Linked DNA regions of Styela clava. The protein of the gene in region 1 purifies or fractionates together with the protein of each later gene. This does not show direct contact. Links are inferred from orthologs where the notes say so. Each region holds a gene or a part of one and is shown in the gene's direction. Other genes may lie near its edges. The genes, in order: histone deacetylase 11-like, autophagy-related protein 2 homolog A-like, tuftelin-interacting protein 11-like and PAX3- and PAX7-binding protein 1-like.

Region 1 (7,873 bases):
TTTCAAAAACGATTATTTTTCGGAATTCAGAAAAGAACCCATTATAGAGAGCGTAAAATGTTTTTTTTTATATTTTAAACTTTCCCAATTAATTCTTAGTTTAATAAACGTACAGTATTCATTTGTGACAAAGAGAAAAATATATTTGATCAATTTTCCCGCAGCTCCAGTTGAAATACAAATCCCTATTAAATTTGTTACGTCGACAATGTTTATAAAACTGAGAATACACGCTATTTTGGTATTATATGTAGCCGAGTCAAAACATGCTGCCACTGTTTTGTTATAGTGAAATCAAATATATAGGGTATATACTTTTTTCCGAATGTGTCGTAGTGCTGCCTTTATTGGCGGTTTTCGAGAAATTCCCCTTCCAAAATCGATAATTTTTCGAAATTTTGAAAAGAATCCACGAAGAGGGCGTAAAATATTTTTTTGGTATTTTATACTTTTCTTCTGCAAATCATTCTAAGTTTAATAGACGTACAGTATTAATGTGTGACAAAGAGAAAAATATATATTTTATCAATTGTTCAGCAAATTTAGTTGATATACAATTCCTTTTTAAATTTGTTTCGTCCACATTGTTCATAACATTGAAGAGTATACGCTATGTTTGGTATTATATATGGCAAAGTCAAAACGTTCTGCTACCGTTCTGACATAATAAAATTGAATCTATAAGGTATGTGCTTTTCTCTGAATGTGTCGTGATGCTGCCTTTATTGGCGGTTTTTGAGAAATCACTAATCCAAAAACGATAATTTTCGAAATTCTCAACCTAATTCAAGGGGGTGCGCAAAATTTTTTTTATTATTACTTTATACTTTCTGAAACTTATTCTAACTTTAATAGACGTACAGTATTGATGTGCGACAAAGAGAAAAAGATATTTGATCAATTATCCTGCAACTTTAGTTGAAATACAAACCCTTTTTTAATATGTTACGTACCTTTGTTTTAAAAATCGAGGAATATACGCTATTTTTGGTATTATATATGGCCAAGTCAAAACGTGCTGCTACTGTTCTGGCATAATAAAATCGAATCTATAATGTATGTGCTTTTATCCGAATATGTCGTAGTGCTGCCTTTATTGGCGGTTTTCGAAAAATCGCCATTTTAAAAACGATAATTTTTTGTAATCCAGGACAGAATCCACCTGGAGTCGCAAATGATTTTTTGCTGTTTTATACTTCCCGCAACGTATTCCAAGTTTAAAAGATGTACAGTATTAATGTGTGACAAAAAGAAAATGATATTTTATCCATTATCTAGCAAATATAGTTGAAATACAAAATCAATTTTAAATTTGTTACGTCCATGCCGTTTTTAAAATTTAGATTACACGATATGTTTGGTAATATATATGGTCAAGCCAAAACGTACTGCTACTGTTCTGTTATAGAAAAATTGAATTAATATGGTATCTGCTTTTCTCCAAATGTGTCGTGGTGCTGCCTTTATTGGCGGTTTTCGAGGAATCGAGGTTCCGAAAAGGATAATTTTCCGAAACTTTGTATTTGCGGAATACCTGAAAATTCATTTTTCGCTTAGTTAGTCTTTTTTTGAACACTATTTTCTTGTTAAATTTAATGTATTCATTCAGTTTAAAAAATTTTCATCTATTTTCGTGACAATATTATATTTTGATCAGCATTTTCAATTTTCATATTTACCTATAAGTGAACACTATATGCGCGTGGAACCTATATTCAATGTGTAAAAATATTCTGGCTGAAAGTGCTGCTAGCTTCACAGTGGTAACGTAGATTGAGGGCAATAAACTATCGCGCTCTACTCTGAACAATCTTGAAATCTGCGGATTCCGACTCCGTGCACTTATTTTCGTCCAAGAAGCTGGACATTAGCCTGTACAACAGGCTGTTGAAGCGGGTGATCATTTTAAAAAGTGACATGAATGGGAGATAACGTCAACATCACCAATAATATATATGTTGGTATTTTACAAATTGGAAAATCCCTCCACGCAACAAATAATTTCAACATCCGTATTTTAAATAATTTTTTAAAACATTCTGGACCAGATTCAAATCTAAATATATCGGTCTACATTTAGTCGGTACCGAGAGAGAGAGAGAGAATTTATTATTTCGTCAACCAGAAAACACATAATATTAAATATAATAATAACATAATAAGTGAAACAAAAGTCTTCGGTATGACTGGGAGGTAACGATACGACCAGTTACGGTCATCTGAGTCAGTTACCACCCAATACAACACATGAATAAATACATAAATTGATACAGGTTCTTTTTTTTTAACTCTCAGTTTATAGAGAACTATTTACAAAACGAGGATAAATTTTGGATTCATCTAATCAGGGTTGGGAATTTATTGTGAAAAATGACACATTTATGATCAAATTTCCCCTCCATTTTATCAGATGAAATTATCAAGTAGTCTAAGTTAGTTTTAAGTATATACAAGAACCTGTGAAATGTATATCTCTAATCTAAGCATCGTTGTGAACCTTGCTTCGTTTTCATTGTTGTGCGTGAGTCAGTTTTCAAGTGCATTCTCAAAAACTAGTTTTAAATCAAATAACTTGATAGCCATTACTAAGGCACCAATATAGATTTTTCGATAGTACTTTTCTGCGGTGCCCCCTCTCCCTTGGAGCCCTAAGCACGTGCTTATATTTCCAAAAGGTTAATCCAGCCCTGCGTACCTAATCGCCCCAATTGCCATTCCCTGCTACTATAATTAATAGCCTCTGTCCGTGGCACTTAAGTGCCATAGTTAGGGATGGGCAATTCAGAATATCGAATCTGGAGGATTCGGATCCAATTAGGGGATCAGATAACTGAATTTGGTTTCCGCTTCTTTAAAAGCATTCGTCAATTTTTGTATTTCCGGTTTTATAATTTATTAATCAGAGATGAGCTTTTCGTCTTGCGTCAAAATTTCTCTCGTTTGATTAAAAGCGGTAGACGTCAAACACGGAAATCTTAGCGCTTCAGATCAAGAAGACTCCCATGAATGAACAAACGCCTCACGGCGAAGACTTGTTGTTGCACCATTTTCTCTTTCTCCAGCTTTACGACCTAGTTAGTGATTGATTTCAACAATCTAGCCCAATTTTGTATACCAATTTTTATTCATGTCATATGACCCACAAAATTTAATTTCTCACAGACGTACCATGCTCCGTTTTAGATTAAATGATTTTTCGCGGCCTACGAGTTCTACCGAGAACAATGATCTAAAGCAGGATTGTGCAACCTTCTTCGTAGACGGGCCAAATATCAATAACGGGGTAAAACCGCGGGCCGCACTTTCATTACAATAGGCTTTCTATTAGCTGTAGGCACATAATAGTGTCTATATGTTATTGATTCTAAATCGTCATTATTGGGGGTCCTTGCAGGAATGATGAGTTAAACTGTAGTTCAAATATATCGTTACATCCATTTTATACGAATTCGGTAAGAAATTTGCTGCTAGATTCTTTATCCAAATTTGCTTAAATGAAAGTGATACGAATTTGATATGGAGCCCGTTTTTGAACAAAAAGATGTAATCGAAAAGTGCCCTATTTGAAGCCATGACCTTTTTCAAATGTGGGAAGTTATCTTGGTTGAAATGTTTTCGGTAAAGTACGCCAAGATTCATTTCCGAATAATTTGCTGTCAAATTTTATTCTTGATTAGATTTGGACAAAATCAACTGATAGACTGGAACCAAACTCAATTTAGTTTTTGCATCTCTTGATATTAAAAATTTAAACTGCTTTCCAGTTTCCTGATCTTCGATTGCTCGTTCATACAAGTTCATTAGCGTCTGCTCCGCATTTCCTTTCAAGTTTTTCGCAGTTCAGCAAGTGGCAGCTTTGTGAATCGCGTTGCTGTTGAGACGTTGTAACGTCATAGGCACAGATAGCAAATTGGACTCGGATATTATCTTTGAAGCCCAACCAGATCAAAATAAAGTAAAAACTAATTTAGCCGCACACCATTGAAAATTCTCTACGGGCCGCACAATATTCCCTTGCGGGCCGCACCCCTGATCTGAAGTTTAGATCAGAGATTAGATTAGATTCTAAACCAAAAGCCAGACGTTAAATGTTATAACATTATTTGCGATTAATTTATATCAAATATTATTTACAATGATTTAATACATTTACGACAAGCCTCTTCCGAAAATACAAAGTTTCATCACAAACAAAATATTGGTCACATTTATTTTGCACTCCCAAATAATTACATCCTTCTCGGGAATCTGCGATTCGTTATCGGATGTTATTACATGTTAAGTACGAAATCACGATTACGGTAACTTTATTTTACGGGTCTTAATCTCACAGAATAAACACGCTGACCCATGCTTGATTATAATTGATAGTGGTTAAATCGTAAATATATACTACTACGATTAAATTCAATAGTTTGCACCCGTAATTGACGCGAAGACTAGGAAGGAAGGATAGGATTTACATATTTATCCCGGGGTAGAGGAAAGCCGATAAGACGGCTTATCCATATGGCGAACCACGGCCTCTCGTCCGGTTACCATTCCAAGTCGGGTATGGGATTAGTTTTTACTGTATTGTTTGTTTTCGGAAGCATGGACTTGGTGGTGGAGGAAGCCGTAACCGACCAGCGGTTACGTGAACCACCCAACGACGGCGAGGAGTCCAGCAATCCTCTCGCACATAACCATCCCTGCATGGGATTCTAACATGCGAACCCACGCAGAGTAATTAGAGGTGCGCTGGCGAGCGTATTCCTAACGCTTAGCCCGTTGAGCCACACCGCCGCGCGGTACCCGCTACGGCGCATAAGTTGCAGTTGTCTCGGACTGGCCGTGCATATACTGTGGTGAAGGTGCCGTGGTGGACAAAACATCACCACACATATATATCAAAACTCCCAATACAGTGCCTAATAATGCAGCAAAACTTTGTCTTCTCAATAACCGAGCGGTAATGCTGCCAGGAAAATTTTTAAGCAATTTAGGTCAAAAAAAAAATGTGATAACTTGTGACTAATTATAAAATTTTGTTTTTACATAAAAAAAAAATATTGCAGAAATTATCGAATTTCATTGGCCTGAGCCAATGATCGGAACATTTTCAATTACACGCGAAGACTGATACATTTACAATTTTTTTTTACATTTTATTCCACAGGAACATAATATCAAAACTATCTATATATACGTCCATTTCGTGATTCAGTATTCTGGATTTGATTTGAGTATTCTAAAATACCGTAATAAATTATTCAACATTTCCCACCCCTAGTCACAGTGCAGTAGTTGTTTTAATGCTTATAGCTGCATAGGATTATATGACTGTACGAAATATGGGGCAAGGACCTTTAAAACCCAGCAGGAATCAACATAAACCCAACAGTAGAAGCTTTGATAAGTCGAATGAAAGAATTCCAAGATTGTATCTAAATATTTCGGATCAAGCCTGGCCATTAGTCTACAGTTCTGGCTACAATGTAAGTTTTGGAGGCATGGAAAAGTTGCATCCATTTGATGCTGGCAAATGGGGAAGAGTTCATCAGATGCTGATAGATAAGAAAATGTTATTGCCTGGGGAATTTGTTGAGCCTTTAGAAGCGTCAGAAGAGGAATTGCAAAAAGTACACAGCCAGAAATACTTGAATAGTTTAAAATGGAGTGCGAATGTAGCAATGATCACGGAAGTTCCACCAGTTGCAATGCTGCCTAATTACTTTGTTCAACGCTCAGTTCTGCGACCATTTAGATTGCAAACGGGTGGCTCAATCTTGGCAGGGAAGTTGGCAATGGAGAGAGGATGGGCCATTAACATTGGTGGTGGATTTCATCACTGCTCTGCTGAGCGTGGAGGAGGATTTTGTGCTTATGCTGACATAACCTTAAACATTCGTTATTTGTGGGAAAACTTTCCAGACATAAACAAAGTCCTGATTGTCGACCTTGATGCTCACCAGGGAAATGGATATGCTCATGATTTCATGGGTGAAGAAAGAGTTTTCATTTTCGATGTGTATAATCGTTTAATATATCCGAATGATCAGCGTGCTAAATTAGCCATTTCTCGTCCGGTGGAATTGGTGCATGGAACGAGTGATTCAAAGTATCTGGAACTTGTGAGAAAAAACCTTTCTGAAGTCATTGAACTGTTCAATCCTGAATATATTGTGTACAATGCTGGAACAGACATTCTCAGCGGCGATCCACTTGGTTGTCTTGATATATCACCTAATGGCATTGTTGAAAGAGATCAAATAGTTTTTGAAGTGGCCCACAGAAACAAAATTCCAATTGTTATGTTCACGTCTGGTGGATACCAAAGATCAACTGCAGCAATAATAGCAGATTCAATTTTCAATCTCAATAGTCATGGATTTATAACTGGACCTAAAAATATTTTGCATTCTGAATAATGAATGTGATATCAGTTGCAGGAAGCTTTCTATACAGTGATTCTCATACTTCCTTTTGCAATCATTAACTCCATCCATGATCATAATATACATTTATAGTTGATACCTGAAATATCTCGAATGACCTCATATGAAAAAGCCTACTGTGTTTATTGACATATATTATTCATAAATTATATTATTCTTTTGTTTGTCACTTACATCATCTCAACTTTAATCCATAACTCAACTAACAAATGTCTTATGGAGCCCAAATTGCCTCATTGGATGTAGTGTTCAATTGAAAATGACAAAATTAATCTGATTTGAACTAAGTGGTCAGACTAATTTGACTCATATTTTACAATCATAATTCTTCTTGTGGTAAATCTTTAACAAACGAACTCGGTATCAAAATCGAAACCTTATTGGCGATTTTGCATTTTTCTCTGTTTGTTTCATGAAATTTAGATTAAATGCAATACCTACAGACTACAGTATTTATTCATTTCTCTAGTAAATGCTCTTTCCAAAAATTTTGGTTTTGTTGATTTTACATATTTTTGAGTTTATGGATTTGATTGATTGATTTGATTGATGAATTTGATTTGTGCTTATCGCATCTTTGAAAAATAGTTTTCAATATTAATTTTCATCACATGAATATACACATGACAATGATATGGTCATTTTCATATGCTTATCGAGGACAGCCATATGTTATATGCCTAAAAACATAGTTTATGATTAGAAATGTGCAGTCAGATTTGGATATTTGTATCAATTTCACTGTCAATGTGAAAGCATTTATCATTTGTCAATAGTATGCATAAATCTGCAATAAAAAAAAATAATAAGTGATAAGTTGTATTTGAGTTTATGTTGATGTAAATGCTAGTTTTATATTTCTTTTAGTTTTCAAAATTTCAATTGTTTCGCCAAAACCTTACTCTCCATTATTTTTCAAGCACTTGTTATTTTAAGTGCTTGTGGAATGGAATTGAAGTGTTCAACGTTGATACCCATTTTCCCTCTTACAATTTTATTTTTCATTTATTATATACTGTATAAAATGATTATTACAAAGTTTTACACATTTATGCACTAAATTTTTATCACTGTCACTTCATTTTATATTATTAATAATCATAGTATATCAGTATGGGCCAAGGTGCAAGTACTGAACTCAGGGAGGATGGCAGTTCTGACCTGCACAAAAATGATTTGTGGCCTATGGTTCATTGTCCGGAATATAATCTACGCTTCATGGGATTAGAAAAAATGGGCAAATTTGATTTATTGAAAGGAAATAATATTCGTCAGATACTTATTGCACAAAAAATTTTGACAGTTAATTCATTCTCCACTCCTGTTGAAATTACGGAAGCAGAGTTGAAAGAAGTTCATACCCAGGAATATATGGAGAGCTTGAAAAGATCCAAGACCATTGCAAAAATAACAGGAATATCTGGATTAGCAATTTT
Region 2 (7,350 bases), on another chromosome or scaffold:
ATCAAACAGACAAAAACACGGTGGTCGCAAATTGGTGGACAAAGATATTATCGACGTATTGGAAATGCGCACCCCCCTATTCCCCCTCCTTCAAATGTAGAAACGCGAAACTTTAAAGATGGTTAAAAGAAACACAACTCTACCCACCTGCCAAGTTTCATCTCTTTATCTCTTATATTTGTATGAATTTTCAAGCTTTTTTAAAGGAACAATGGGTAGTTGGCGACCTGAAAAAGTGGTCCTTTTTTTTTCTTCGGTCTGGTTTTCGGTCGTAACTTTTTGTTTGTGGCTGCATTTTAGTGTAATTTCGCAGAACTATGAGGGATAAGTGGAAAATAACGCGTGAGAAATATCGTCACGGTTTGTTAATTTTTTCATCATTAATTTAATCGATGAAGTTGATGGTCGCAAATAGGTCGTGGCCGCAAAGTGGGTAAGCCACCCTAGCAGGTCAGACCACAGGCCGAAAAACTTGGGTTTTCATTTTCAAGAGTCTTCAGGAGTGTCTAAAAAGCTATGAAAATTGCTTTTTATGATACAGAAAAATACCCTTTTTTACATGTCAAAAATAGAGGTTCCGAACCCTTTTAGCTCACCCCTAAATAGAAGTCATAGAGTCTACCGAAAAATTTAGTAAGTAGTGCCCTAACTGCCTAAATCATTTTAATACTGGAACAACTGGAATCTTCGACCTATGAAGCTTAGGTCCGTATACTGGTAGGCTATACAGCTATATGATTTACTGTACAAAAACAGCTGACACTGTGAGTCTGTGATTGTCTCATAATATATTTTGTCAATCTTCTATCTGCTTTTAAATTGCCTCATCTCTACAGCCCCCATCATCTGGTAATATTTCCAATAAGTGTTATTTTTTCGAGAAAACAAGAGTATTACAATGGAAAGTTTAAAAATGCTTATTCCTAAACTTGACAATGAAGAGAAATGCATCAAATATTTACAAGAGGTTGGAATACTGCAGTTGAAACGAAAATGTGCGAATGGACACTCAATGAAGCTAGTTTTCGGAGGAGGAAACAAGAATCGATGGCGTTGCTCTAAAAGAAACTGTAGAAAAGAAAAAGGAGTGCGAACAGATAATTGGCTTGCTAGTTCAAGGCTGCCATATGGAGATTTAATTCGCTTTATTTTTTCGTGGTCATGTGGATTGGCTTCCGCAAAATATTGTAAATCAGAACTTGGAATGAAAAAAGACATAATAACTGACTGGAATAGATACATGGGAGAAGTGTGTCTTTGGAAACTTTTAAGAAATCCTGTTACTATCGGAGGTCCAGATAAGCATGTGGAAATAGATAAAGTATACTTCGCAAAGAGGAAAAACCATGTTGGTCGAGTTCTTCCACAACAATGGGTGTTTGGAGGAATTTGTATCGAAACCAAGGAAGTATTCATGGTATCAGTTACAGATGATACACAAAGTACTGTAATTCCACCAATAATTGATTACATACACCCTGAAACGATAATATTTACTGAAGACTGGAGTGCGTTTCGGGCCATTCAGGATGAATCACCTGAAGAAATTTCAGAATCCCAACACCTGATATTAGAAGCGGGCTATAATTTTGTGGATCCTTGCAGTAAAGACCATACCAAACATATTGAACTTCTGTGGCACCCTGCAAAGGCAAAGAACAAGAGGAAGAAGCTAGCTGGGTATTTTGCTGAATTTCTTTGGCGTCACTCTTCTTTAGCTACACATTCTGGTAATATGTTTAATGTAATTCTTTCAGATATGGTTTCATTTCGGCCACCAACTGATTGAAAAAAAATTTCAGTTTTCATTCGCAAAATTTTTCTCAAAAAATATATCATTAAATTCTATGCATTTTTGTTGTTTACAATGTTTTTGTTTCATTACATTTTTGTATTGTGCCTACTATAACAGGATAAGCTTAGGTTTTTATATATTATAATTAACATCCAAATTAGGGATGCCACTTTTGGATTTACGAATCGGATCGATTCGAATCGCATCTTTTCCGAATCGGTTTTAGGATTTCGTGATTGACTTTTTCTACTTATCTGCCGTCATTTGTTTCAAGTTCGGCACAACACACTCGTTTACGCTTCACTCGAGATGATGTGTGGCGTAATTTCCACCAAACTGCACGTTCAGTTTCTACTAAATAGCCTAAGTTTCTATTATGCGCGAATTTAAATAGATCGTATACCTAAAAATTTGTGACAATTTTGATGAAAATTTTCAAAAGCACACCTGCGCTGCGACTAAGTTATTGTGCGCCCTGGCATGATTGGATAAAGAATCAGCTACCGACGTCTAGATAATATTTAATTTTGATTGAAATTTAATTTAAACTTTGCTCTGATTGAAATATTTCGCGTACAACTATTACTGAATCATCGGCCGGCAATGTTAATTGACAATCATGTTTCTCATCCTAAAATATGTATTTGTTTTGTTTGCAATTGTCAGGCTTCCACTCGAATGGCGGTAAACGAAATCAGAAGGACATAATGTAATAGTACATACACGTCTTTTTTCAGCTGTTACAAAAAAAGTAGTATTTAATTTTAATTTTGTTAGCGCGATACAAGCGGGAATAAAACATTTCGAATTCTTTCTAGCAAATGTCATAACCATAACGGACATTGTTTTTCTCAAAATTGCCTCAGTCCTGATACAAGTATAACACAATAATAACTCAGTATTGTAAGACTCACAGATAAGTTGCAACAGCAAGTTTTTCATCAATGCATTTATCATGATGGAAATGAGTGTGGCTTATTCACTGAAAAACCCTTATCATCTTTGCTATATAGCTTATTCCATTTTTTAGTTTTACTCATCTAGATTTGAGCTTTTTTGTGACTTTGAGCAAAAATACGCATGCAATAAAAAAATAAAAAAAAATAATGGAATCAGATTCGGAAAGATTCAATTCAAAAATTTTTGATTTGAGATTCGATTCGAAAAAAAAATGTATCCAGAAGTGGCAACCCTAATCCAAATATATTGTCAATAAGTTACTCTTGTACTAAATGAGTAATTTAAATAATGTGAAGATAGTTTCAATGTAGATAAAAGACAGTTACATAAAGAAATAACTACTGCGATTATTGTGATTTATTTTGTCTGGATGTTTTATGCCCTCAGGCTATATGTTTTTTTGGACATTTTGAATTGATCAACTTAATCAAGCTAAAGATGGTAGGATAGTTAGGAGTTTATTTCAATTGTTTTATAGTATAAGGAATATAGATATGAGAAAAGATTTCATATAGTCCGAATTTTCTGTCATCAATTTTACCTGTTTTTTACTCCAACGAGGTTGTGTATAAACAGCGACTCTCATTTTGAATATTTCCTTATTTTCGGGGAGAGAACTATCAATTGGATAGAGAAAAATTGTAATATGCGATTGGACTAAATTGAAACTGTTTTGTTATAAATTTTAATTTTTTAAAAATTAGTTTGGTATGTATTTTACACAGATATAAAGTGTTGGCATAACTCCTGTTGTTAGACTTTTGTACTTGTATATCGTTTAGTGAAGAGTAACTAATTTATTATGGTATATTTTCTACTGGGTAACAAAATTTCAGTCTTCCAGATGCAGGGAGTAATTGTATGCTATTTGCATGTTCATATAAAAGTGTTACACTGAAATATAAATATTTTTCATGGAGAAGCTTATTATTCGAACTGTTGTATTAATTGAACACTACAGATATTCTTCATATATAAGGTATATATTGATATATATGCACATATATATATATATGAAAATCCCTGTAAGATATTGCAAATCAGTCGAACTATTTTCAATAAGATAGCGTTTTTATTCTTATTTTTTGAATTGCGCATGCGAGAGAATAGACATGTTTTTGTTCAAACTCTCATGCTTCTTCTAATGATACCAATTATCTGAAAGAATTTTCTATTACAAACTTTGTTTGCTTTCCTGGCATGCTTTTTAATGCTACTCACCATATGTTTTTATCATTCACTTGTTGCCTTTATACTGATTATTAATGATTATGGACTCAATCAAAAAGAAACTGCTTATAATACTATATCTTACTTCCTGTTTTTTGTTACTGTAATATTAGTATGTTCATCTAATTATGATATAACTCTTGGTTGTGCTGCTTCACTATACTACAGTTTATCAACTAGTTTTATAATAATATTCAACATGAGTTATTCAAATCACTGCCATTGAAATGATTTGTTTGCAGATTTTTGCTGCTATCCTAAAATGTTTTTGCTTTTCCAGAATCCAGCTTCTTAAGTACATTGATTAACTACTATTTTATTTATGCTATAAAGAGAGATAAAAGAGACACAATGCCGTGGTTTACTTCATGGCCTGAATCAATAAAAAAGCGAGCATGCCGATATTTATTACAGCACTATCTTGGACAATTCCTGCAGGAGAAACTTCGCTTAGACCAGCTCAGTGTGGATTTATATAACGGAACTGGATATGTAAATGATGTTGCACTCGATATATGGGCTTTAAATGGAATGTTAGACCAGGCTCATGTGCCTATGGAAATTGTAGATGGTTTTATTGGATCAATCGTCGTCACAATCCCATGGTCTGCATTACTGAGTGACAATTGTAAAGTTGAAATCAAGGGGTTGGAAGTGACGCTTCAACCGAAGTATCGCACTGACGTAGATCATGGAAATATGACTGATTCTTTGTATAAAAGCCTTGGGAATATGACAACATCAATGCAACTTGCTGAAGGTTGCCTCAAAGAAGAAGAAGATGAAGCTCAAGACACATCTGCTGGAGGACTTTTTGAGGGACTTGAAGTTTTTGCGCAAACTATTGAAACTGTTCTATCAAAAATTAAGGTTTCATTAACAGATATGGTGATTCGCGTTGAACATTTGCCGGAAAATTCTGGAACGGGTATTGGTCTTGAAGTTCATATAGAGCGTATTGAATATTTTGACGAAATTACAATGGAGGACAAGAATGACTCTTCCCCAGCGCACGAGAAGAAACCTCAACACACTGGCGACAAAAAAACTGTTTACCAACAGGAGAGTATTACATGCAAGCATTTTCGAGCCACTGGTATCAAAATACTTATGGATGAATTTCCAGAGCAGTTGAGAACAACTCCACCTGGGTCAACTGGCAGCCCAGAAGCACGAGGTACAGAACCAATTGACATATCGCACACTGAGTTTGAAACGATGAAAATCATAGAGGAGAGACTAGATAAGCCTCAGAAGGAAACTAAATACGATGGCCCAGTTGTAATTGGAAAATTTTTTGGCTGGCAAGAGGTTAAACTTCGTATTCGGCAAAGTGAACATGTATCTGCACCGAAACTTGATGCTGAATGTTTTTTTGGATCCTGCAGTATGTTCCTTACACCACACCAAGTCCATCTATTAGCGGAATTTGCAAGTGGAATTGCTACTCCTGTTTCAGTAAGTCCCGACCCCCAAAGAGATGAATTTCTATCAATGCAGACAAATAATTTCGCAACATGCCATGATGGGATAAAATTATCACCTACAAATGCAATGACCTCACCGTCGGATAAAGACAGAGAAGAATTAAGAAAACGTAATCGACAAAGAAATGAAGATCTTTATTTGGCGAATCCGCCTTATCAAGATATTGATGAAGGAGATCAGTTCTTTTCGATGGAAGGTTCAAAATTGTATTCACATGTTCCCCAAGAAGCAGCAGAGTATGAAAACAGTGAATATGGGACTTCAATTTATAGTCAATCAACAGGTTTTACGCCATCATCTGCCTATACTAACCGTTCTAGAATGACACCCATGCACCCTTCGTCGAAAGTAATGGGTGGAGGCCATCACCATTTTGGCACAGAACATGCCCAGTCAAAATACAATGGTTATGGTACATCTCCACATGGTCTGAGACGGCATCACTCAAGTCGCAGTGAAGAAGATAAAACAACATCGAACCATTGTCATTATCAGTTTCATATCAGAGCAATGGCAGTCACGGTACTTCATATAAATCCTCTGCCGCCATCAGCGTCGCCCACACATTCCCATAAAGTCGATTCGTCCTTAACACCTCAGCCAAGTTTAGAGAGCAACGTTGATTCTTCTAATACAAGTGTTACAAACTGCCATGTTGAAATGTCAAATAAGTATTATGCATTGTGTGAAACCCTCCTTGACGAAACGCTCAAAGCCAACAAAAATATAAACACTTTAAGAAGTGATTTAGCTTCAGTGTGTTGTCCACATGATCATCTTCGTTTCACAGCAGCACATATACATCTTGACAGTGAGCAAAAAACATCTCAAACATCCAGCAGTGAACTTTCATTTGGTAAAGCTGAAATTACTGAATGTTTGTTTATTGATGCTCCCAGAAAATCTTCTTTAAAAAGTGGGAAAACGAAAAGCTCTCCAGTGCTAAAGAAAAAGGTTTCTGTTCATTCTGAAATTCTGGTGTTCGATCCTAAACCTTATGCCGGTGGTTTGGTGAAAACAGCACAATCGGAAATGTCACCTGATATCAAGATTAGTATAAATAATTTTGATAGTCATCGATCTTCTAAAACAACATTGCATGTTCATCTCTCTGCTTGTGAATCTGAAGTTGATATTAGCATTGTAGATCGATTGAGCACACTGCTTTATCCCCCTGATTCAATAACGAAAGCACAATCTAATGCCGCAAGTATGTTCTCACCTACAAGCTATGCTCACAGTCTTCCTGATGCTTACAGCCAACAAGCAGCTTTCAATGAAGCTCTTTCAGAGGATAATAAGGATCGTCAATTAAATTTGAACATCTCTGCATCATTTTTGAAAATCAATTTCCGATTTCCAATCGCAGATTTGAGACCGGAAATGGAGCGACGACCATGGTACAATCGTTCATTACGAGATGAAACACTTATTCTTGAAGCTCATGACATTGCTTTCCTAACTTCTTCGCTTGGATCAGGTGGACAAGTAGGATCTCGTTCTGGACAGAAATGGCAAACGCATAGCTCATCTAGCTCACAGCAACGACAGGAATTCGAAATCACAGTAAAGGATTTACACGTTCTTTACTCAGATGAACCAGAGAGACCTAAATCATTTCTACGCATTAGTCAAAGTCCATCTGTGATCGGACCCTTAGGAGGTCATGTTGATGCAAACAGTGGGATGGATTATCCACATATTAAAGTAACAATAAACCCAAGTCATGAAGAAAGCAACAACGTTCTTCTACAAGGTAACACAACTTTAACAGAGCAACCATCACCAACTAAAAAGAAGTTTGAAAATTCTGAGGACCCTTGGTTGGATGAAGAATTCATGTCTGGCTCACATAATAGCTCTTCTGATGCAAACCC
Region 3 (7,641 bases), on another chromosome or scaffold:
CTGATCTTTGCAAGGAATCCATCTTTTCCAGCAATCTTGTTTCCATTGCATCCTGCCATGATAATAAATAAGATATTTTGAATTATCAATTTTAGGATGTGGAAATTTATGCTTTGTGTTCAGTCTAATAGTTAGTCCGGTGGAGCTGACTGTGATGATGTTGCAGTAACTTGAAGGTTAATAATCTTGATGTTCTAACCTTGGCTTGGGATTAATGAAGCCGAATCAAAGAGATTGGCTGCTTGTCTTGCCTCTTAATCAGAGTGAAACACATGAGAAAATTTACATTCAGGAGCTTCCTTTCATGCCAGACAGGATTTCATTACATATAACTCCCTATATATTAGTGGCATAGTTGCGGAACAGCTATCAAAGCTCTCTTGTATATTTTGGCTCTTTAAAAACAATGACATATATTATTCACCTGTTTGCTTTGAGCCAGAGATGCATTCAGTTCCATAATTTGTGAAATTTGATGTTCAATCCTGGTTCGTTCACTCTCAGACCATTTCCGATTACTATCTATGGAAAGTCTGATGTCTTCCAAGACTTGCTGCAGAGAAAAACCGTAAATTCAATTGTTATCCCATTACCCACTTGGCAATATGGCCACACCAACGTTGTATTGGATGGAGTAGTAAATGCTGAACCTGAAAGATTTAGGTCCTTCCAAAAATAGTTGCACCTTTGTCCTTGTATATCATTGGCTGCTTAATTCAGGGCCTTGTTATGAGTTTGAATAAAATATATCTTGTTTGCTAACATATTCTTTCATCAAAGTGAAAGTTGTCAAACATTACGATCTTTATTGTATTTTCATTCGGCTAATGTTATGATTTTACAGTGCTTCGTTAAAACTGTACAAACAAGGTTTATAGAAAGTAGAAACTGTCATTAAAGTTATAGCATATCATGGCTCAACTTTTGCATTTAAGAGGCTTCAGATCTGTCATAATAACGCTCGCTGAACATTTAATCATTTCGAACATGTTTCAAAAACAAGTTTCATCGATTACATCGTAGGTAATAATTTAAAAAAATTTCAAATTTCACTGTATTTGTGAAATCATCACATGAGTGCAAGCTCACCCTCATTCTCGAATCCATAGCTTGAAGTTGGGAAGAGCTTGTTCCTTTTATAACTTCTATTTTCCCTTCCTGCTGAGTCATCACAATATCAAGTCTTCTGGTCAATTCAGAAATCTGAAGCACAATTGAGGAAAAAGGCAGTATTAGCCACTGAACACTAAAATTGAAGAGACAAATGGCAGGAGACTACCAAATTTAAATGAAAGGATTTTGGCAAACGTATTGGAAAGCCTGTTTTTCTCAGTACTAGATAATGAACAATATAGGATAAAGCGAAAGACATAAGGTGTACAGAACTGAAGACATGAAACATCCATCTGGCATTCACACATTCAGGTAGGACATGCTTATCACATTTATGTCTGGACCATGATTGTCTAACAATAAATATTAATAACAAATACCTAATATAAATTTCTTAATTTAAAATCAATATTAGCCCAGGAAGGTATAACAACTCGTTGCATACAAAAATATAAAAGTTGAAAGTGAGTATGACATGGAGGTTCAAATTAAACACAAACAAGACACAACCAAGGAAATTTTGCTAAAATGTCAATATAGTAAAACAAATCAAAAACCTACAAAGCGTTCAACTCTTGCATACTTTTATAGATATACAAGCTACAAACCTCTCTTTCAAGATGATCTATCTTATGTTTATTTGTGTCTGTGCTTTGATCAACATGTTTTTTATCTAGTTCATTGGCTGATGTTGCCGACCTTACATCTTGAGCAAGTCTGGCAATCAGAGCATCACATCTAAATTTTTAAAAAAATGTTTAGCAAAATGTACTGAAATCTTGGAGTAACTATAAAAGCAAAACTCATATAGATGGACCAAATGCTAAATTGAGAAAATATCCAAAAAAACTTATGCAAGAATTAATTGAAATACCAATTTATACGAGAATACATTTAATATGTAAGTGGCAGCTGGTCAACAGCAACACATTTACCAAATCATCTCCAAATTTAGCCAGAGATTATCTATTACTAACTTTATAAACAATAACAACTGAGTAGCCATGGAGTGTGCAATCAAATTAAAAATATTTTTTGTCTAATCATAGAAATCAATGGGTAATTTATAGTTGCTATCAATGTAATACAGCACATAAAAATTAATCAATCTACTTCGTCTATGTCCCCATCTTATTTCCTGCCCTCAAAAAAAAGTGGTAATTTTCCATAATCAATTTTCAACCCTCGCCATATTTTTTCCTTATTTTCACCAATATCAAATTTGAAAACTAGAAAAAGTTCGTCTGTTCATAAAGAATACGGGAATACTGTACAATATCATTCCAGATATTTAGCCAACAGCGACGCTTCTACACACTTATCATCAATGCTTTAGCTTTAAAAGCAACTAAATTTTTGATAAGACAAAAACGGAGTGGAATTGATAGAATAAACAATAGTAGTCTTACCTTGCCACACGACCTCTCAGATCGGCAACCCCCGCATGAGCAAATTGTTCAACATTTTTAGCTTGATAGGAAGCATCCACTATTCCACGATCTCTGGATGAAATCTGACAATGCAATCATTTCAAAAACAATCAGATATGGGGTCCTGATGGGTAAAGCATTCGACTTAACGGTGATGACATAACTAAATGGAATCTTGGGTTCGAATTCCACAACCACCGCCTTACCCTGGATTTGATGAATTAGGTAGGCGGTATCGAACTGATAAGATTACGGCGCTTCCAAACTATGGTATCTCCTTATCTAGCAGTGGTGACTTGACTTGTGCAGAGTCTTGTTCAGAGAAAAGTCATATACTATCGTTAGATAAAAAATTTAGATAGCAGGGTTTCATCATAGTATAACTCTAAATTATATGTCATCAAAGCGCTCCATACGAGCCCACGGAGACAGAAAGCTAGGGCTTTATGCCGATAAACTCCGAGTTAAAAAGTTACCTCAAATTTAAGTTCTTCAACATCTCGACTCAACTTTTTAACAGAGCTTGTTACGCTTCTGATATGCTCGTGCCATAATTGCTGCAATGCATCATCCATACTTGATGGTCGAATATCACTGGATAAAGCTTCTTTGAACTGAGAATAAAAAAATAAAGAAATTTTACTGTAAGTATAGCCTAAGTATTAGTATAGTCAAAGTAGCTATTCACATTTAGTGGTCGTCCGTAATTTCATTTTGAGATCAGTCTCCTTAATTTCGGAGTAAGTTTGTGTCACTTTGCTTTGAGTAGCAACTTGAGTAGCCTAACTTTTTTTGAACCTAAAAAACTGCAAACAAGGCTCTGTCATGTGAAGGAGGATACTATTTGCCCTTTACATTGATCATCTGACTTTTTACATTATAGATAAGCTGGGAAGCTTTAATTAGATCAAAACCTCCAGTCCGCAATTAAGACAAATTTGAGTTAAATATCATATTGATAGAAGCAGTAAAACAATGTTATTAATAACAGAGTGCACAGCAAAAAGAAGATTGAAAATATATTCAAATCGAACAAATAGTAATTGTAAAAGAAACGATTGTTGAAACTTACTTCAAATGCTTTTTCAATCAATGATTTAGTTGCTCTTTCCTGTTCTAACAATCTGTCCTCCAAATGATTTAATCTACGATTACCCCGACGATCAGATCTAAATATATCAAGAAGTTATTTTCATTTAGACATAAAAACTTCAATTTCATGAAAGCCAATCTTGGAAGTCAATGTTTTCAAATTAATACTGCAAAATAGTGGTTTATGTAATCGCTAATAGCTAATTCTACTACCCATGTCTAATCATGTATATATAACCTTGCCACGCAATAGAAATCAGAAAAAAACATATCTGGATATTGTGCCTAACTTCAAATACTAAAATATGACATAAACTTAAGTTATGTCTGGTTTACAAAAATTTGAATATCGCCAATCATATTCCTATAGATCTACAGCATGAAAAGTAAATAAAATATAACTTTATGGTCATAAATCAAGGGTACCATAAACGGAACAAACACGCGTCTTGTCATCTATAAATAACAGCAATAAAAGTTGGAAACATTTGGATTCTGTCTTCATAACAAGGTTATATTACTTCGTATATAAAAAAAATAATTCAGCACATACCTTCTAACAACGACTGTACCGTCGTAACCGTTATCGGACATAACTTCGCAATCTTTCCGTGTTTTTTCCGGGAGATTTTGATAACGCAAAATCCACGAAATGTCACCAAAACACAAAAATCTCAGCGTTGTTGGAAACGTAACTGTTCATGCATGTCAGTAATTTCCTTCTAGCGATTCCATTGAGTTTTAGTAAATATTCACAGTGGTAATCAAAACCATGATATTCAAAATTCTAAAAAAATGATTAATAATCTTGATCTAATTCGGAAACTAAAAATAATAAAAAAAAAAATAAAAAAAAAAATAAAAAATGCTAACTTTGCCAGATCGTATTTCTGTACCGTAATATGGATTTCACAGCTATGTTCTCTATTTTATTTCATCACTTCTTGCAATATCTGAAAACTAAAGGCTAAAATGTAATGTCGTTTGTTTTTTGTTTTGCAGATGTTTTTTCGCATCTCCCTTACTATTAATTAATTATTACGATACTATTAATTATTTTTACGGGATTTATGACGCTTTTGAAATCATTTGTCACTAAAAAACGGAGAAAGGACAAAAAAATTGTGGATATTTATGAGTCTGTGACCTGGTGACTGCGTGAGGAGAAATAATACTGGATTTTCTTCTTGCTGAAGGTACGGTAAGCTGTAATAATTATACATTTCAGATAGCAGCATATCTCAGTAGGTACGGTACCGTATCTGGGCTTATAAAACTATATTTTCGAACAACCAAAAGACCTCATTCAGGCATTTCCTTGCTTTATTGTAATATCTGAATTTGTTAGGATGATTGAATGAATTTGCGAATGTTTAAAATGAGGAAATTTGTAAAAGCATATCTAATCTACATATGTACCCTATATACATATTATATATATTATTTTATTTAATATATTATCTTTATGTTTTTTATTGCTGATAGTCAAATGCTGTATGTTGCATAGTGCTATGCTAGGCATTAAGAATATGGTACCCACTGGCTGGGAAGCACAGTTCTAGGGAATTGCTGTACTCGTAGCTCTTGTTTGGTCAGTTACCGCATCCACCAAGTCTATGGATGTGAAACTAATTACTAGACTTGTTTACTATCCCGATACGCAACATGCTCACCCAGACAATTGGTTGTCTTATGATTAAGCCATCTTATCCTCATCCCTGCGATAAATTAAAAAAATTCGAACCTCCTGCTCATTAATATAGGCTATTCATTTTTACCATTTTAATTCTGTCTTCAGATGCCTCCCAAAATGTCGAACCGTCAAAGAAAAATAGCGGCCATGTTTGCCGCTGATAGTGAAGAAGAGAATGAGATGGAGAAATTCGAATTAACGAATGATGACATTGCTAACGAATTTAATCCAGATCGACCACAATTCAAGCAAACAAAGGAACAAGCTCTTTATGGAATCTGGGCAAAATCATCTGAGAACAATTATGGGTTAGTTATTCAAGACTGTCAAATTGAAAAATCGATTTTTAGTTTGTTTTTTATGTGAGATTTCCTCCAAACAAGGCAACCATTAGTATGCACTACTATTTTTTATGACCCGGAATATCTTTGACCTTTTCTCTTTCCAGTTTATTATGCCCTGGGTGAAGTGTAGGCTTGGATCTGAGATATTTAATGCGCAATGCCAACACTATAACCATTATGGCATCACAATCATTGTTTGAAGCAGCGATTTCCAACCAGGGGCCGTTGCCCTCTACGGTGTTCAGGGAGCAGTTGGAGGGGGATGCAATGCTGGATGCAAAATTAACTTTTCAGTTTACAAGAAAACTCCCCTTTTTTTCTAGTTTCATTGCTTGAGAAGGTTATTTCACAAGTGTCATCACTTTTTTAGGCATGAATTGTTTGAACTGGAATGATAAACAAGAGTTCGAACGCTTCCAACTTATTCAAAGACATGTGGAATCAATGTATATCTGATCTATCGTATTAAGCATCAATTCAAAAATTTATTCAAGACTGAAATTATTAAGAAATTTGTTATAAGCTCATTGATAATGCTTCAAAAGTTATTAGGATAAATTTTTCTTTTTAGTATAAAATGAACATTAAGTAAAGTATTGATAATTTGTGTTTTCAAATTTTATAACAGGTTTTAGTGACAAAACAATTTTTTTTTTATCTACTACACATTCTAATTTTTACAGCAAAAAGAAACGCGATTTCTCAGCACCAGTAACCTTTATCAGTGGAGGTTTAAAAGAAGGAGAAAAACGTCAACGATATGATCCAGAAGAGGAAGAGAATATGGATGATTATGATGTTGAAGGAAGACAGACTAAAGAAACGTATATTGTTTTTTCAATTCTTAATTTTTATAAAATAATTATGTTTGCTTTTATTAGAGCAGTGGTTTTCAAACGGTGGGGAACGTAGACAATTTTTTAAGGAGACATGAAACTAATTAATTAAGTTACAAATTCTCTCGCCTTTTCCGCTAATTTTTTTGTGGCCCAGCTAAATGTCTGAAATGGGTTATATGGACCATCAACAAATAGTGTTGCACACCTCTGTATTAGAGTAAGAACTTATAATATATTCAATACTAATATTTATTTCAGCAAACCTGTAACTCTACACTCAGTCCAGAAACCAAAGCCTAAGCCTTCGACCTCAGCCGTTGGGACTAGTGGATCTGGTGGTCATGCATATAGTTTAACAGCGAAACAAAAACAGAAAGAAAAAATGGCGACGCAATTTGGGTCATTTGAGAGGCATACAAAGGGAATAGGTAATTTATTAGTATTTCATTATTAATTTCAGTCTTTCTTTAACAAATGAAAGCTTAAAACTTGGGGAACAAACATTTTGTCTGCATTACTACTGTTTAAATGAGATAGTAAAACTGGGGCGAACACAACTTTTTGTTTGGGTAGATGTTGCTTACATGAATCCCGTTTGTGTGACCATCAGACCACTGTTCTTCCCCTAAAGTGGTTATCCTATGATTCCTAAACAGAAGATATTGTCAGACACCCAGAATAGGGTGTCTAACCTTTTTTAGGACCACAGACTATTTTGAACCAAATTAAACTCTTCCCCTCTGTTAAGTTTCGTTGACTATACTAGGGGTTCTCAATCTTTTGGAGTTATGGAGCCCATAAAGAGGTTGACTATTGTTTTATAAAAATAAAAACACATCTAGAAACATTAATATTTACCGTTTGATGTCCTTGAAAAAACCAAAATTGCTTTGTTGAATGATTTGGATGAATTCATATTTAAAAAATATTCAGTATTCTAATAAGTAAACAATAGCTCGCGGAGCCCCTGGGTTTTTTCTCAGGGAGCCCTGGGGCTCTGAATGGGGCACTTTGGGAACCCATGGATTATACCGATACAATATAATCACTAATGACCTCTTCGTTAGCATCTCTGTTATGTCCCTTTTTTTTAACTAATTAACTTCTTTTTAGGTATGAAACTGATGAAA
Region 4 (6,940 bases), on another chromosome or scaffold:
TGGAATCACTTGAAATAAATTCAAATATGAAATCTCTTCGCGGCACACCAAAATCTTTTTGCTGTGGCGCGGCTACCTGGTTGGGAGCCACTGCCTTAAACAATACGCTCCGATTCACGGTACATACTTGCGACATTCACTAACGTTTATTACGTAATAATGTCTTCGGTAGCGCGTGTCGTGCTTTGGAGAAACACTGTAAAAGCATGACATCAAAATTTTACTTTATATCAAGGTGCTTCTGTGCCGAGTTGTCTCACGGACCTCAGTTTGGCTCGTTGGTTTGGCATGTTAGAATTTTGATGTAAAATTCAAATTTGGGCCATGTTTGACAAGATGTTATTATATGTTACCAACATACAATTTTTCCGAAACTTTTTTTTTCTGGTTCGAGTTTGGTCCGAGATGACTTCACAGTAAGTTCTTTTGGGATGTCTTACCTGAAAGTTAGACACGTAATCGAAAAGTACAGAATCTTTGAGTTTAAAACTGATATTTATTTTCAGTATTAACTTTGATGTTAAATTCTTGTTTGAGCCATGTTTGACAAGATATTATTATGTGTTCCCACTTCCCAACATACAAATTTGTTTAAAAATTGGATCGAGATGATTTCAAATGTGGCCGGCCGTTGAAAATCACAGAGGTTTTTGTGGAATACCGAGTGCAGCGAAATTTCGTCGTAACTTTGTCAACTGATTTGCCACCAGCCTGCATACTGGCCAACACAAAACGATGTGGCTCAAGGCGCGGCGGTGTGGCTCAACGGGCTAAGCGTTAGGAATACGCTCGCCACCGCACCTCTAATTACTCTGCGTGGGTTCGCAGGTTCGAATCCCATGCAGGGATGGTTATGTGCGAGAGGATTGCTGGACTCCTCGCCGTCGTTGGGTGGTTCACGTAACCGCTGGTCGGTTACGGCTTCCTCCACCACCAAGTCCATGCTTCCGAAAACAAACAATACAGTAAAAACTAATCCCATACCCGACTTGGAATGGTAACCGGACGAGAGGCCGTGGTTCGCCATATGGATAAGCCGTCTTATCGGTTTTCCTCTCCCCCGGGATAAATATGTAAATCCTATCCTATCCTACTTCTATAATAAACATCGATATTGTTTTATACTGTTTTTTTATTGTTTCATTATAATCTAACTCCATAAAAAATTATCGATATTATTTAATATTGTTTTTTCATTGTTTTTGTGGAAATAAATCTCTCTCTCTCTCCCTTTCTTCCGTCGTGGCTTTTATGTGCCATGTTGAATCGTTTTCTGGCAACTTTATTTTTCCGTTTCAAAAACGAGAGAGATGTCTGCTAGGGTCAATTTGGTCATTTTTAGTACCCGAGTACGGTACCGTACCGATACGTACTGTATCCATATGTTCATATTTATTTTTAATCATCAATGTATAACTTTATAGATTAGTAATACCGTACTGTATCAGGATAGGAGTTTTCTATTCATCCAGGGGAGAGTCTGGTTAACCCTCTCTGGGCCCCTTTATCTTTTAGCAGTGAGAAAATCGGATATTTTTAGTGAAAGCAATACTTTTAGGTCATATATCAGTATATATTGAATTTTTAAAACTTTTCAACACTCCGACTCCCTGGGGGGATTTACCCGATGTTGCACTAGTGCAAGTTCGGGTCTCATGTAGTTTCTTACCTAACATACTTCTAGTCCAGTCTGGATTTCATGGCCTTTTTGAACGAGAAATCGGGCGTGCAATCAGAAATTCCCGCGTGCAAATAAGAATTCCTGGCGTGCAATTATAGCTCACGACGTGCAAAACAACTGCACTCGCGTGCAACTGACTTTGACATCAAATACCTCTCAATACATCCGCGTAAAATTACCGGTATCGGATAAAAAATACGTTGAATCAGAGAAAAAAATGGACGTTTGACCTTTGACCCCAAACATTATTTCTACAGTTTGTCGCTAATTTTGAGAGTGTTTGTGCGACTTTGGATACCGGTACTGTTCAGTACATCCGCGTAAAATTATTGGATAAAAAATACGTTGAACCAGAGCAAAATGGACATACTTTGTCATTAATTTTGGTAGTGTTTTTACGTAGAATTAATGGATAAAAAATACGTCAAATTAGAGCAAAATGGACGTTTGACCTTTGACCCCAAACATTATTTTCATACTTTGTCACTAATTTTGGGAGTGTTCGAGCAACTTTAGATACCGGTACTGTTCAGTACATTCGTGCAAAATTATTGTATGAAAAATACGCTGAATCAGAGCCGTACTTGGCCATTGGTGCGGAGGCGATCTTTTCGTCCATAACTATTCTCACGGGATTCCTATTTCCTATCATTCAACACGATATGGACCTTTCTCCGAGCATCGACTTCCTTGTTTACTTCGTGACATTGGCCAATCAGCAAGATGCAAAAAAGGACGTAACAATGAGAGGAATTTTTCGCGGGTCAAAGGTTGGGGAAAGGTCCATGGTCTTTTTGCTTCGCAATATTTCGATCAGACCAAATCTTGCAAGCTGGTATTTGTCGACAATTGTGGAGGTATAATATTTTGGCATCTTTATATTACTGGATTATTGATTTTAAAACCATTTAAACCGATTTACATTGGTGAGCAATTGCAAATTTTCGGCGTGCAAAATTGATTTCGCTCGCGTGCATTTTTGCGGAGCGCTAGCGCCCTCGGGCGTGCACCTGCCATGGAATCCAGTCTGGCTTCTAGTGGGCGTACCGGTAGCATAAAAATTTTTTGATATGTCAATCCTAACCCCCATCTGATTACGCCATCCAAAAATTTAATCACTACGACATCACAATCACGGCATAGAGCTTGCCAAATATACGCACGATCGCCCGAAACGGCATTGGCGCCGACGATAAAAAACTGACTGACGTTATCGGTCTCTCTCCTATTGGAATCGTTGCGACGAGAAAACGAGAGAACTACGGTAACTGTTCGATTCGGGTGGTCGTTTGCGCGTCTTGGATGGCAGTACGTATAGTTTGAAGGGCTCTATTACGTCACTGTGACGTCGTAATGACGTAATTTTTGGATGGTGTAGTCAGGTGGGGGTTAGGATTGATACGTGAAAAAATTTTCATGCTACGCCCACTAGAAGTATGTTAGGTAAGAAACTACATGAGACCCATGGATTGCAATACCTTTGCCTTTAGGGTGTTGTGAAAAATTGGGAGCAAAAGAAAAACTGTGCTCCCCCGAACGTTGAATTAGGTTTCTGTTTATCTGGGTGAACGGCGTCACACTCGGACTTTCAAAACACGACTAAGTTACAACTTTGGATTTGTTTCTAGATTGCTATTGTCTGTCCATATAAATTTCAACAGTCAAAATGCTGAAATGGTCTGATTTTTTAGGCTCAAAATCTTAGCTACATAAATATTGTTCTGGAAATTCTGTGTTTCAACGAGATCAGCGTCATCATATTCATAATTGTAAGTCTCAATTGCTTCTTTATCTGAAAGTGTGGCATTAGAAATACGTGCTAATTCAACGCAATTTCTGCAAATATTCTACCCGTCGGCATATTTACAATTGTTCTGCTAGATCGCTGAAAATACAAATAGAAAATCTGAATCAATCTGAGACAGTGTCATACAAGCGTCCAGCGTCCACAAATCCTGATGAAGTTTTCATGAAGCGCCTCTTGAATAAAATTCAGGAACTTTTTCATTTAGTGCTCCTCAATGTTGTTTAGAATGAAAAATGTTCATTAAAGCTTTGTTTACTGCATGCTATGGCTGTGCTTTTGCTTTTTCTCTGTTATTTGCTATGTGGTTTGTATAACAAAAAAAAACACCACCTAGCTGCCTAGTCCTGCTCATCAGATAACCTCTTGCACTGTTATGTTCTGAGGTATCAGGTACCTTACAAATTTGGTATGATAATTAAATAGGAAGTACCTACTTTTCACTTCACTAGATGCTTCTTCAATCTAATTTTTAAGTTACGATATATCATAATATAAAATATCATGTTCAAGAAAACTTCCAAAAGAAATTTACGGCAACGAAAAGACTCTGATGGTGATGGTATAGATGGCATTGCATCAGAAGAAGGAAATAATGGCGTTAATATCGCTGCTTTGAAAGCAAAACAAAAGAAAAAAAGCAAGGCTAAAAGAGCAGAAACCACAAAGCCAGAGCAAAAAGCAATCCTAAGTTTTGGAGGTGATGAAGAAGAAGAAACTGAAACTTTTCAATTGAAAAAGTCTTCTAGAAGTCGCAGAATTGCCAAACAAATTAAAAAACTTGCACAAGAAGAACGAGATCAACCCGATTCGCCTGGAAGTGGTGAATATACGAAAGAGCGTCTAGCTGAATTAAAGAAATCTTCTATGGCACCCCAGTCTCTGCAGTCTACGAATTCACCATCTCATCCTTTTGGGAGCATTTCTGAAAATAATACTCAAGATTCAAATACATTTGGACAACCTACCAATGGTGGGCTTAAAGAATTACGACCAGGTGAAATTCCAGATGCTAATCGAATTCATGCTGCTAGAAAACAGAGAGAGATGATGAGGAAATATGGCTCTGATTATATAGCAATTGAAAATACAGACTCGTACAAAACGAACCCCAATTCTCGACTTGTACGCGAAGATGATTTGGAAAGCAGTAGTGGGGATGAAGATGGTCCATCGGTTGCAATGAAAGGAGTTATTGATGATGGAGCAAGAGTAGTACAAGAAATCGGGAACGAAGGAGAAGAATCATTTAAAAGAGATGAAGAATTTGATCTGTGGGAGGCGCAAATGATCAAAAAGGGCATTAGCACTCAGCAAGTAGGAAAGTGGGTTGGGGAAGATGATTCACAACCCAGACCTGATAATAATATACCATACAATACTTATGTAACCAATGGGACTTATAATTCCTCTGATATTACAATGAACTACAAACCTACTATAAATGCTACACCTAAAATTGCCATGACTCCTGGTGAAACTGTGACAGCAATAAAGAAACGAATTTCTGAGAGATTGGAATCTGTGAAAGAGGTTCATCGTACTCATAAACAAGATGAAGAAAGAGCTATCTTAGATGTGAAAGAGAGTGAAGATTCTGCTGTACAACTCGCTGATGTAACAACACTATCTAAGCAGTATACGTATTTCCAAGACATGAAAGCATATTTGACTGACCTAATTGATTGCCTCAGTGAGAAAAATGTGGAAATAGAGGCCCTAGAGAAAAGAAGGCATAAAATATGGAAGGAAAAAGCTGATGTGTTTCTTTCAAGAAGGTATGCAGTTTTTTCTTTTTTTGTTGTTGATATTCTCATAAGGCTAAACTAAATCACATTTGGAAAAAATTTCCCAATGCAAAGGAATCATTAGTACAAAGGATAAGATTTCTGGATCCATACGAAAATATTCACTTAAATTGTGTTACCTTGACTACCGCTATGTATATATTTTTAGCTTTGTTACCAATTATCGTAAGGAGAAATTTAAAAAATTCGAGCTATTAGTATTACTTTATCAAGTTTGTACTCATTATGTTGGATACATGATGCTTGCATGAGATTTAGACACATTCAATATTTAAAAACATAAAATTGTGATATTTATTGCCAACTATGCTTTCTGTTTTGCCAACCTTCCATTCTTTGATTCATTCATAGACAACAAGATGTTGCAGATGAGTCGTCTGAAATTACTTGTGCACTTTCTAATGTTAAAATTGCTCCTTCTGCTGTCGATAAAAGCAAACAACTCAGAATAAGGGAACGGGAAGCAAGAAAGTCTAGAAGAAGAGCAGTGAGAGAACGCCTGGGTAGGTTATGCGCTAATTTATTTATTTTTCCTATATTAATTAAGCTGCTGATATTGAGCTATTGCTACTTGGGCGCTCCAGAAGTATGTGTTCCAATATGGAGGTAACTTATTTTGTTCACCTATTTTACATCGCGTTGTGTAAAGAGACTGAAGCCTATGAGCAGGGGTATGTATATTCACTTGGCTAACACGGACAGTCCCCGGAACTCATAATATAACTAAAATAAGGAAAATCGGAATAACACTATGGCCTAACCCAGGGGTGGGCAACTTCTCTAGTCGACGGGCCAGATGTGGGAAAATGAAGTCCTCGGTGGGCCGGATAATAACATGAATAGTATTCAATATCTTAATCACATATTTATTCGCTAATGCAAGAAATAAAAAATTTAAATCGCGTTTAAAGTAAAGTTTATACTACAAATAAATAGAGACCAAAAAACCAATAATGAATTATCATAATGTACTAAAACTGTAATAATGTAATATCATAATGTACTGATGTACAGTCAGCGGGCTGGCCGGTCAAAATCTCGTCGTGGGCCGGACCCGGCCCGCGGGCCGTATGTTGCCCACCCCTGGCCTAACCCAAACCTGGTACAGATATTTTGTATTCTTCATTAGATTGCCTATTCTCATATCCAAATTTACCTTGTAACTAGGGCTGTCTAAAATTGAATATTTTTTTGATTGAAATCGAACTGAATATTATTGCACAATCCTAAATATATTTCCATCGTACAATAACAAACTCCCTCTTTTATATTGTGATAATATATGTGCAATTACATCTAAAATACTGCTGGTATTTTGCATAACTAAGTTTCAGGGTAATGACAGCGACAGGTGTTCACTAAGAGGTCCCGATACTTCAATTTACTCAATTCCAATAGAATCAGTTTTGATAGGGCATGCAAAGCCTTTCGGGCTATTTTAATCCTATTAGCATTAATCTTTAACTTTTATCTTTATCTTTTACTCTCTGTGTAATTTTTAGCAAAATGCTAACAATGATTAATACAGTATAAAGAACACCAGGTTCTCAGGAAATAGGGAGGTCACAAATTCCTGTTTAGTTTGATGACCTTATTGTTAATGTGCAACAACCATCAAAATGCATAAGTATAATTATTTTCAATGAT

The links.
Region 2: the proteins of histone deacetylase 11-like (region 1) and autophagy-related protein 2 homolog A-like purify together in Homo sapiens (co-immunoprecipitation; 3 studies listed by BioGRID and IntAct, counting the BioPlex papers as one, with this or other methods). This does not show direct contact. The link is inferred for Styela clava from reciprocal best matches to the Homo sapiens genes HDAC11 and ATG2B.
Region 3: the proteins of histone deacetylase 11-like (region 1) and tuftelin-interacting protein 11-like purify together in Homo sapiens (co-immunoprecipitation; 3 studies listed by BioGRID and IntAct, counting the BioPlex papers as one, with this or other methods). This does not show direct contact. The link is inferred for Styela clava from reciprocal best matches to the Homo sapiens genes HDAC11 and TFIP11.
Region 4: the proteins of histone deacetylase 11-like (region 1) and PAX3- and PAX7-binding protein 1-like purify together in Homo sapiens (co-immunoprecipitation; 3 studies listed by BioGRID and IntAct, counting the BioPlex papers as one, with this or other methods). This does not show direct contact. The link is inferred for Styela clava from reciprocal best matches to the Homo sapiens genes HDAC11 and PAXBP1.

What each region holds. Positions count from the first base shown.
Region 1 is NC_135252.1:6,045,654-6,053,526, reverse strand, and holds histone deacetylase 11-like, read left to right. Parts: upstream 1-4,856; 5' UTR 4,857-5,318; coding exon 5,319-6,410; 3' UTR 6,411-7,541; downstream 7,542-7,873. UniProt on the Homo sapiens protein: Responsible for the deacetylation of lysine residues on the N-terminal part of the core histones (H2A, H2B, H3 and H4).
Region 2 is NC_135259.1:16,431,324-16,438,673, reverse strand, and holds the start of autophagy-related protein 2 homolog A-like, read left to right. Parts: upstream 1-4,336; coding exon 4,337-7,350. UniProt on the Homo sapiens protein: Lipid transfer protein required for both autophagosome formation and regulation of lipid droplet morphology and dispersion.
Region 3 is NC_135264.1:14,210,469-14,218,109, forward strand, and holds the start of tuftelin-interacting protein 11-like, read left to right. Parts: upstream 1-4,641; 5' UTR 4,642-4,831; exon of another isoform or gene 4,832-4,836; intron 4,837-5,433; coding exon 5,434-5,636; intron 5,637-6,355; coding exon 6,356-6,496; intron 6,497-6,769; coding exon 6,770-6,939; intron 6,940-7,624; coding exon 7,625-7,641. Other genes in the region: protein FAM81A-like, read right to left, coding at 1-52, 425-553, 1,090-1,203, 1,722-1,851, 2,523-2,626, 3,020-3,157, 3,616-3,712, 4,189-4,229. UniProt on the Homo sapiens protein: Involved in pre-mRNA splicing, specifically in spliceosome disassembly during late-stage splicing events. Intron turnover seems to proceed through reactions in two lariat-intron associated complexes termed Intron Large (IL) and Intron Small (IS).
Region 4 is NC_135260.1:20,023,510-20,030,449, reverse strand, and holds the start of PAX3- and PAX7-binding protein 1-like, read left to right. Parts: upstream 1-3,915; 5' UTR 3,916-3,989; coding exon 3,990-5,263; intron 5,264-5,644; coding exon 5,645-5,796; intron 5,797-6,940. UniProt on the Homo sapiens protein: Adapter protein linking the transcription factors PAX3 and PAX7 to the histone methylation machinery and involved in myogenesis.